2 linked regions of the Oryzias latipes genome follow. The protein of the gene in region 2 interacts with the protein of the main gene of each other region in a pairwise test. Links are inferred from orthologs where the notes say so. Each region holds a gene or a part of one and is shown on either strand. Other genes may lie near its edges.

What was found.
Region 1: the proteins of ciao1 (region 2) and fam96b interact in binary tests that used the Homo sapiens proteins (3 or more experiments, as listed by UniProt). The two-hybrid records come from large-scale screens. The link is inferred for Oryzias latipes from reciprocal best matches to the Homo sapiens genes CIAO1 and CIAO2B.

Annotation. Positions count from the first base shown.
Region 1 is NC_019873.2:4,896,411-4,900,872, reverse strand, and holds the start of fam96b (mitotic spindle-associated MMXD complex subunit MIP18), read right to left. Parts: upstream 2,952-4,462; 5' UTR 2,835-2,951; coding exon 2,708-2,834; intron 1-2,707.
Region 2 is NC_019867.2:18,361,142-18,365,729, reverse strand, and holds the start of ciao1 (probable cytosolic iron-sulfur protein assembly protein CIAO1), read right to left. Parts: upstream 2,998-4,588; 5' UTR 2,722-2,997; coding exon 2,583-2,721; intron 2,473-2,582; coding exon 2,324-2,472; intron 2,255-2,323; coding exon 2,143-2,254; intron 2,052-2,142; coding exon 1,963-2,051; intron 1,794-1,962; coding exon 1,598-1,793; intron 1,507-1,597; coding exon 1,437-1,506; intron 435-1,436; coding exon 200-434; 3' UTR 1-199. Other genes in the region: tmem127 (transmembrane protein 127), read left to right, coding at 3,692-3,929, 4,021-4,185, 4,265-4,575. UniProt on the Homo sapiens protein: Key component of the cytosolic iron-sulfur protein assembly (CIA) complex, a multiprotein complex that mediates the incorporation of iron-sulfur cluster into extramitochondrial Fe/S proteins.

The sequences.
Region 1 (4,462 bases), on a different chromosome or scaffold from region 2:
CTGATTACTCACAGTGATGTCCCCTCACCCTCCCCACCAAGGGGCCCTAAATGTCTAAGGTGCGGTTAAAATTGGCGGGTAGGGTGCCAGGAGGACATCTGCTGCTTGCTGGCAGTGATGTCCAAGCACCCCCCCTACCAAGGACCCTACATGTCTAAGGTGCAAATAAAACCGAAAGAGGGGGGGCCCACTCCGTACGGCAACCATAGGAGGGGGGCCACTGCCAAGTAGCCCCCCCCCCAAGGCGCATCGCAGGCTAGACCCCCCACCCCCTCACCCTAATATGAGGTTATATGAGGAAGGGGGTAAGTTGGGGACAGCTGGTAGACTGTCCCCCAGTGGTCAAACAGCTGTCCCCCAGCCCCCCCCCCAGCAAAGGGGCCAGGGCCACCCAGCCCAGGTGCCCCACCCCCGGAGGCGCCGACACCCCAGGCCCAGCACCACCCACCCCACAGAGAGAGAGAGGAGCCAGAAAGCGTCACCCCCCCCCCGGAGCAAGCCCAGGCCCCCACCCCCAAACGCCGGCCCTAGAAGAGCCCTGGTCAGGCCTCGACGGGACCGAGGCAGCCAACCGGCCGGGGAAACCGCCGATGGCCTCAGCGGAGACCCCGACCCGTCAACCCCCCCCGGGCCTGAATTAAACTTATGGCTCCATGAGAAAAAGACTCGAAATAGTTGGAGTAAAGAAAAAAAAAGATTCTGCAAGTTGTGCCACCTAAAGAGATGAGTTTAGACTGTATTGTTCATCAACTGAGAGAGACAGAATCTACAAAACAAAGAGGGAAAAATAAATTCACAATATGATTTTTAAACAATGTATTTGTATAATGAAATGTGTTCCACTTGTTACCTGTATTAACTGGTGATCTGTATAAAAAAATACCTGTCCACACCCTTAAACAGTCAGACTGAGACCTCTCCATTATGGATAAGACCAAAGAGCTGTCAAAGGACACCAGAGACACAATTGTAGACTTGGAAGAAAAACTGGAATGAACCAATCTACAATAAAGAAGCAGTTGATTGTAGAGTAAATAAACGCCACTCGCTGTGTTTGAGGGTGAAAGAATGCTGGGTTGAGTCCCAAGCATACCATACCCACTGTGAAGCATGAGGGTGAAACCATAAAGAGGACAGGGGGACTGATCCATATGAAGGAAAGGATGAAGTCAAGTGAGAACGTGAGCGAAAACCTCCTGCTATGAGTGAAAACGCCAAGGATGATACATGGATGGCTCTGAGGATCCCAAACACATCACCCAGGAAACCAGCAGATAAAAAGCTTTTGAAGGTTTTGGAGGGATCTAGCCCGTCTCTGGACCTCAGTCCAACAGAGAATCTGTGTTTTCCAGCTACAGCTCCACATCATCACATCAGCTCTCGAGAAGATCTGCATGGAGGAATGGGCCAAAATAGCAGCGAAAGTTTGTTCAAATCTCATGAAAATCTAAAATGTTTGACTTCTGTCATTCAAAACCAGTTATGAAGTATTGGAACAAACTTTAATTATTGACTAAATGCCTATTTTCTGGATCATTAAACAAATAAATTATTTAAAAATCAAACTGTGTGATTTCCTGCCTTTTTTTACATTCTGTCTCTCACAGTTTAATTGTAGCTATAATAGACCTCATCTTTTATAGTATGACAATTTAAAGAATCCCCCCTCCTTACGCTACAACAAAACAACTGTTTCTCACTGTTTTTGCTGACAATTTGAAGAATTTAACTGTTTAAAAAACCCACATTGACGAAAATGGTGTTTTTAACACATTATTGTGGCTTTTTTCTCATGATGGAGGACATATATAGAGAAAATTAAGCTCAATTGCACGTTTCTGAATAATTCTATACTGTTTGGAAAAGATCGTATTTGTGATGTGGAAAATACGCGGGCCATGCCACAGTCCTCCTGCTCTGCTCCATTCTGATGCACCTGCAGGTCTGCGGGGGGGGGGGGGGGGGGGGGGGGGGGGGGTCAGGCTCAAGTCCCGGCTGGGTTTTCCTCCAGGAAGTCCAGCTTCCTCCCACCGTCTAAAAACATGCTTCATAGGTTTATTGGTCACTCGAAATTGTCCCTAGGTGAGAATGTTAGTGTGTGTGATTGTGGCCCTGAGACAGACTGGCGACCTGTCCAGGGCGTCCTTTGCCGTCACGGGATAGGCTCCAGCAGTGACCCCGTAAGGGACAAAACAGGTTTGTTTGTATGTCTTTGTTTTCCTCGTCTGAGCTGGACTCTGGATCTAAACTGTTCGACTAGAGAGCTTCATTATTACTCACCAGGTTTGTTGTGAGTGGTTGTAAGCTAGGGGAGAGCATGTAAACAGATGGATGACGGGGAGTGGAGGGGGGCTTTTTCCATGCCAACAGTCACATTTCTAATGAACTCCTGCTGCCGCTCTGAAGAAACTACGTCCCACAAAACGACACAGGTTTTCTGATTTTGTTTAAGAACAGTATAATCATTACTAAAAACCCACTGGGGACGTTTCAAAACAGACCAGAGGATGATCGGAGTGGGACTTTAAATGTTTTCAAGCTCCAAACCGCCCTTTTTATCAGATTTGTGGAATATATATGCCAAACTTTGTCAAATTGTGTAATCTTAAAATAAGAAAAAGAGATCCTGAGATTTCGTACAAATACCAGGGATTGTAACTAAAACGAATATTGTATTAAGTTGGTGCTTTTAAATTAAAAAGGATATCAAATATTTCCCGGTCGTCGATGGGATCATGGACGTCTTCGTCCTCGTCGGCCGCCGTCAGCTGCCTTTCCCCGGACCGCTGGAAGATGACGGGGTTAGCGTTCTCCAGCTGAGACCCTCCGGACATTTTTCACTATGTTCGTCAATCAGCACTAAACATTCAACTGCCCATGTATGCAGGCGGAGTCGTGTTGCTTTATTATGTCGACCTTCTCACAGAGCACTTCCGGGTATGACGGATAGCAGCAGCGGACAAAAAGCCTGCGAGGAAAATTAAAGTAACAAATGCTGAATGATTTTGTCCTAAGACCATCAGCAAACCCACTATTATTAGTTTAACGAATACAATTAATAACTTTGTTATTATTATTGCCTGAACTAAACCAATAAAAACGAATTTCGCAATGAGTTATCATAACTGCAATAGTACAGAATATCAGCTGAATACAATAACAAAATTAACTATGCTTTTGTTATCGGTCTAATTTCTACCAGTAGACAGACTTTTCATCATTAAAGCAGTGACAGTAATTGAGAATTATACAGTCAATGCATTAAAGGGAAACTTAAACCTGAAATGTAGATGCTATATACCGCCACCTGCTGGATGGGAGGGGATCAGACAGTCATAACTGGATCAAAGACGGAGGAGAAACTAAACTGTTAAAGTTCAACAGAGGCAAAGCCAGCCACTCTTTTCATTCACTCGTCATCCATCCCTCCATCTGTCATTAGTGTCCAATATTTATATATTGAATATATCCACTTTATTTATATAGCACTTTTTGAAATCCAGATTACAATATGCTGTACAATTAACATAAGACAGAATCCTGATTAAAAACAGTACCGGACGTAAAAATAAAACCCAGCACGAAACAGTGATAGCGTTAAAAATCAATAAAATCATAAGTTTAAATTTAAGAACCAGTGAAATCATTAAACGCACGCATATAGAGGTGGGTTTTTAAAAGAGATTTAAAACTGGTAGGTACTCAGTGAGCCTGATCCCTTGAGGGAGACTGTTCCAGAGTTTTGGGGCTCTTATAGCAAAGGCTCTGTCTCCCATGGTCTTCAATCTGCATTGTGGGATTGTTAAAAGGCCTTTTGCTGAAGATCTAAGATTGCGTCCAGGTACATAAGGAACAAGCAGAACAACCAGATACTTAGGGGCCGGACAGCAGAGGGCTTTAAAAACAATCATTAAAATCTTAAAATCTATTCTAAAATGGACTGTGAGCCAGTGCAGAGACGCTGAAACTGGAGTGATATGATCTCTCATTCTGGTTCCAGTTAGGAGTCTGGAGTTGATACACACTCTGCTGTGAAAGGCATGTGTAGAGTGCGTTACAATAGTCCAAGTGGGAACAAATTAAAGCGTGAATTACCATCTCGAGACATTTTTTTGATAGGAGAGGGGTTATGCTCTCCTATCTATTTTTTTACATAATATTTTAAGTAATTCATCTTTGTCATGTGCTTTATTGATACTTCAGGATTCTTAATTTATTACATGAGAAATCATATAATAAAATGGTTACGGTAGAACAGGGGTGGGATTATATAAATTCGCTTCCTTCCACTTTCAAGCAATAATTAATTTTATGTCTAATTATCCCAAGTTTGATACGTCATTGTGATTGCTTGAAATATATGGAGTGATATTTCTGCCACCAAGTTGCACACAAAACTTTCTATGTTGCACACAAAACTTTTTAAGTTGCACACAAAACTTTCCATGATGCAGGTGAAAAT
Region 2 (4,588 bases):
TTAAGTTGTAGGACTAAAAACAGTTAACCAGCACACCCATCATCACTTTTGTGAATAAAAATAGAACTTAAACTTTACATTTTACAATCATTCAGATTTATAAAGATAACTGTATAAGCATGACTTTATATAGCAAAAGAAAAGAACATTTAAGTTCAGCACAGGGTTTCATCCAATTGCTGGTGTCTCCACAGCAGGTTCAGTCTTCTTCTTGAAACCTCCAAATTGCAATGTCTCCATCATCACTGCAGGAGGCCAGGAGGCCGGCCTCCTTTGGGTTCCAGGCGACGCAGTTCACATCCTGACAGTGAGCCTTCTTCACCTGAGCAGCCAGCGAGAACACCGGCTCATCTGCATGGGCCGCGAGATCCTCCCTAAACACTCGTATGGCGTCGTCGCCACAGGCAGTTGCTAGGGCACCGGTCAGTCGACACCTACGCAACAGACAGTTGTTTGAGCCATAATAGTAAAGGGGACAAAGATTCAGCCGACTGATGACAAGCGCTGTTTTAGTGGTGGTACAGCCAAAAAAGCAAAGAAGAAAATCTGTTTTGGCAACTTTTTAAAAACTCTGTAAATAGAATCTATTTTTAAAGTAAAAAAAAAAAAATCAGACACCAGACTGTAGTGCAGGGGTGTCCAACTCATTTTGGTTCGGGGGCCACATTTAACCCGTCTGATCTCAAGTGGGCCGGACCAGTAACATAAAAGCAAAATAACAGCTTTGTTTTAGTTTTTTATTCAGTTGGAAAAAATGTCTCAATCAACATAGTAGCCTAATCACTTGGGGCCAATGGAGCTCAAATAAAATTAATTTCAATTAAAGAAAAGTTGGTCTATTCAAATTAATGCAGTCTGAATATTTTACATCTGACACTGAAGCAATCCAGAAACTTTTCTTTATGATAAGTCTCTTAGTGGTGCTGAATGTCATATTCTTTGAGCACTGCGATGTTGATGACATACAAAGCATTTGGGTTTTACATTCAGCTTCGTGAAAAAAAGAAAAAACTCTGTCCAATTTTCCTGGAAGGCTCTTCCCTCCACTTCACGTTTGACAGCATTTTGGTCATTAGGGTGTCGCTAATGATCATCCTTATAGCAAGATAACAGCGGTAAGGCTCATAGGGAACCAAGGTGCATCCTACCCAGACGCAGAGCTGTTATGTTTCGCTTTTGGCACATGCAGATATTTGCTGTTTCAACTGTTTTTCTTTTCCTTTACTCCCCCTAGTGGCGGAATTGCACATTTCTGTTATTTCTTTAAAAAATCATAATTCGCCACAGGAATGGACTAGAAACTTGCTTTCTTTTTTAATCATCCTTTTGATTTTTACTCTTCATGTGTGGGCCGGAGTAAACCACCTGGCGGGCCGGATAAGGCCCGCGGGCCGTGTGTTTGACACCCCTGCTGTAGTGTAAGTATTTAGTCTTACCAGGCAATGTCGTACACTGTTCGTCCATGATAACCCGACAGAGTGCAAACGCACTTCCATGACAAATCACCTAATAAAGCAGACCAAACAAAACATTCTGTGATTAAAAAATATCCTATTTTTTTTTATTTATGTCATAAACTACCCCTCTATCTTCTCACCACTCTCACTTGGATACTCCTTCCAAATCTTCACAGTGCGGTCATCGCTGCAAGACGCCAGCCTCTGTCCCGTCACGTCGAAACACAAACTCCAGACGGTGGACGTGTGTCCCTGCAGAGTGGCCCTGCACTCCCAGTCATCATCCTCCTCCTTGTAAATACAGATGTTGTTGTCGTAGCTGGCAGAAGCCAAGAGCTGCGGAAATAGAATAAAATACAACTTTATTGATCCCACAAACGTCGTTACCATGGCTCTATTAAAAACAGCACGTAGATCATAAATATGGCTAAAGATGCACTTTAACAATTAATAGCAACAATAATAAAACAACTACATGATGGTGAAGGACTGAGTGCAGACCTACCTCTTGCGTGGGATGCCACACAACATGCTTTACATCTTGTGTGTGCGAGTTCACCACTGTAACACACTCGTACTCATCTTCTTCGTCCACTGTGAAGAAGGAAAACAAAGGTTTACAACCCAGCTCTATATGTTTTCTGTGACAAAGGATTGTCCTGCAAGAGCTGGTGAGGACACAAACCTTCCCAAACCCAGACACTCTTGTCTCGGCTACAAGTGGCCAGCAAAGTCCCTGAAGGGGCCCACGCCACGCATTTGACCTCGTTTTCATGACCTTCCAACACAGTTAAGCTCTAGAAGACAAGAAAAGAGTCCAGGTGGAGCCAGAACACGTGTTAGATCAGAGGTTAAACGAACCTTACCTCAAAGTCGTCGTTCTTCTTTTTCCAGATGCATGTCGTCGCATCGAAGCTGGCGGAGGCCAGATAGTTCCCACAGGGAGACCAGGCTACTTTCCTCACAGTGCGCTGGTGTCCGTCCTGCAGAACGTTTTTACAAACCCAAGAGTCACCTTGAAAAGGGAAAACATGAACTGTAAAAAAGGTAAGGTCATCCAACCACTGATTTTAAATCGGCGTAGCAAAATTCGAATAGAAGGCTCTTTGTCTGTCTGAGTCTGACCTTCCTGTCCCCATATCCGGATGGCCTTATCGCCACCACACGAAGCCAGCAGCGCACCGCTCGGGCTCCAACTGACGAACCAGCACCGAGAATCTGGGTGTGCGCTGAGTTTCTGCACCAGAGAAATAGCCTCCTTCATGGCAGAGCTCCAGCAAACGTGACTCCTCTGTCTGTCAGGCGTCGACTCGACACTTTTCTCGATTTCCGTTAACCAAAGATTTAGGCTAAAAAGAGTCACAAATGAGGAAAACGACAGACAAGAGGACTGCGAGTAAATTAATACACCTTTATGAACATTAAAACAAAAGGAGGGGGAAATTAACCAAGGAAAATTGTTCACACAGATAAGTTCAAAGAAGCGTCAAATTAGGAAATGCCGCCATGTTTGCTTATCGGGATCTGGACCCGGTGCATTATGGGTTGATCTAAAATAAAACGTTTTGATGGTAATATTTCATTTATATATTTTTAAAGAAAGTGATCTACCTATATATGTATTTTTATAATATGAATCTATATTTACATTACTGTTTGCAAAGAAAATTTCATGCTAAACATTGTGTACATTTCTATTTTAGTTTCCGCTGGGGGCGGTAGTGTACAGCAAACATTCTAAACGTCACGAAGAAGAATGGCATATACAGGAAGTTAGGGATTTTGAGGAAAACAGCGTAAGCTATCTTTTGTTTTGTTTTGTGTTCCTTTTTGTATCATAGAGACGGACGGTTTTATCAGCGGGATTTGATGTTTACAGGTTATATTTTTTCCCATTCGTTCGCTAAAAAGTGTCTTTCCTCCGAGAACTGGTGACGTAAAGTGTTTATTTTTTTTAGTTAGCTTCAGAGGCTAACAACAGAGCTAAAGGCCCGCTTAGGATCTGTTCTTTGTGTTGGCTTTTCCTTAATATTTTTTGACTACTTTAGGGAAGCGGTTATTGTTGTTTTTATATTGTTGAGCACTTTTATCGCCACCGAAATCTTTGACATATCCTGGAAGACAATTGCCGTAGTTTTACTCTAATACCACAATAACCCGGTACTACTGTCAAGAGGAAGACAGTGCTAAGAGGAACCTACCACTTCAACAGAAAATTCGCCATTCGGTCAGCTATGTATGCCCCACCGGGTCCCGCTGTCTCCGGAGGTCGGAGGAGGAGAGCCGGTACCTCACTTCCCAAACAGCCGGAGCGGAGTCTAGTGTCGGCCCTGCCCGGAGCTTTGTCCATCACAGCGCTGTGCACGGCTCTGGCTGAACCTGCTTGGCTCCGGATTCACGGAGGCACCTGCCCGAGACAAGAACTCGGGGTGGCAGATGTCTTGGGATACGTTGATCCCAATCTTTTGGGTGGTAAGAACCAGCACAAAGTCGTTGCCACTCTAAGCTGAGGATCATGGAGTGCCTTAATTTATATGAATTTGTGGCACGTCTGTCTTTTCAGATTACTGTGTGAATCCGCAGACCATCCTGCTGCTAAGGGTAATAGCTGCCTTCTGTTTCCTTGGCATCCTGTGCAGTCTAACTGCGTTCCTCCTGGATGTGTTTGGACCCAAACACCCTGCCCTAAAGATAACTCGCAGATATGCTTTTGCACATATACTAACAGGTATCTACAGTGCTTGTTTTCATTTCTAATAAAGATCAAACACATTGCTACAATGTAACTGGTTTCTTTGTCTTTCCAGTGTTGCAGTGTGCCACAGTCATAGGCTTTTGCTACTGGGCATCGGAACTGATCTTGTCACTGCAGCAGCAACACAAAAAGTACCATGGCTCTCTCATTTACGTCACCTTTGCCATCAGCTTCTACCTGGTGGCAGGTGCTGGTGGAGCCTCCATTCTAGCCACTGCTGCAAACCTCCTGCGCCATTATCCCACCGAGGAGGAAGAGCAGGCCTTGGAGCTGCTCTCAGAAATGGAGGACAGCAGCGAGACTTTCCCTGCTGACTATGACATTGCCAACCAGTTTCAGCCACCTCCTGCCTACACACCATAATGCCAGCAAAAAG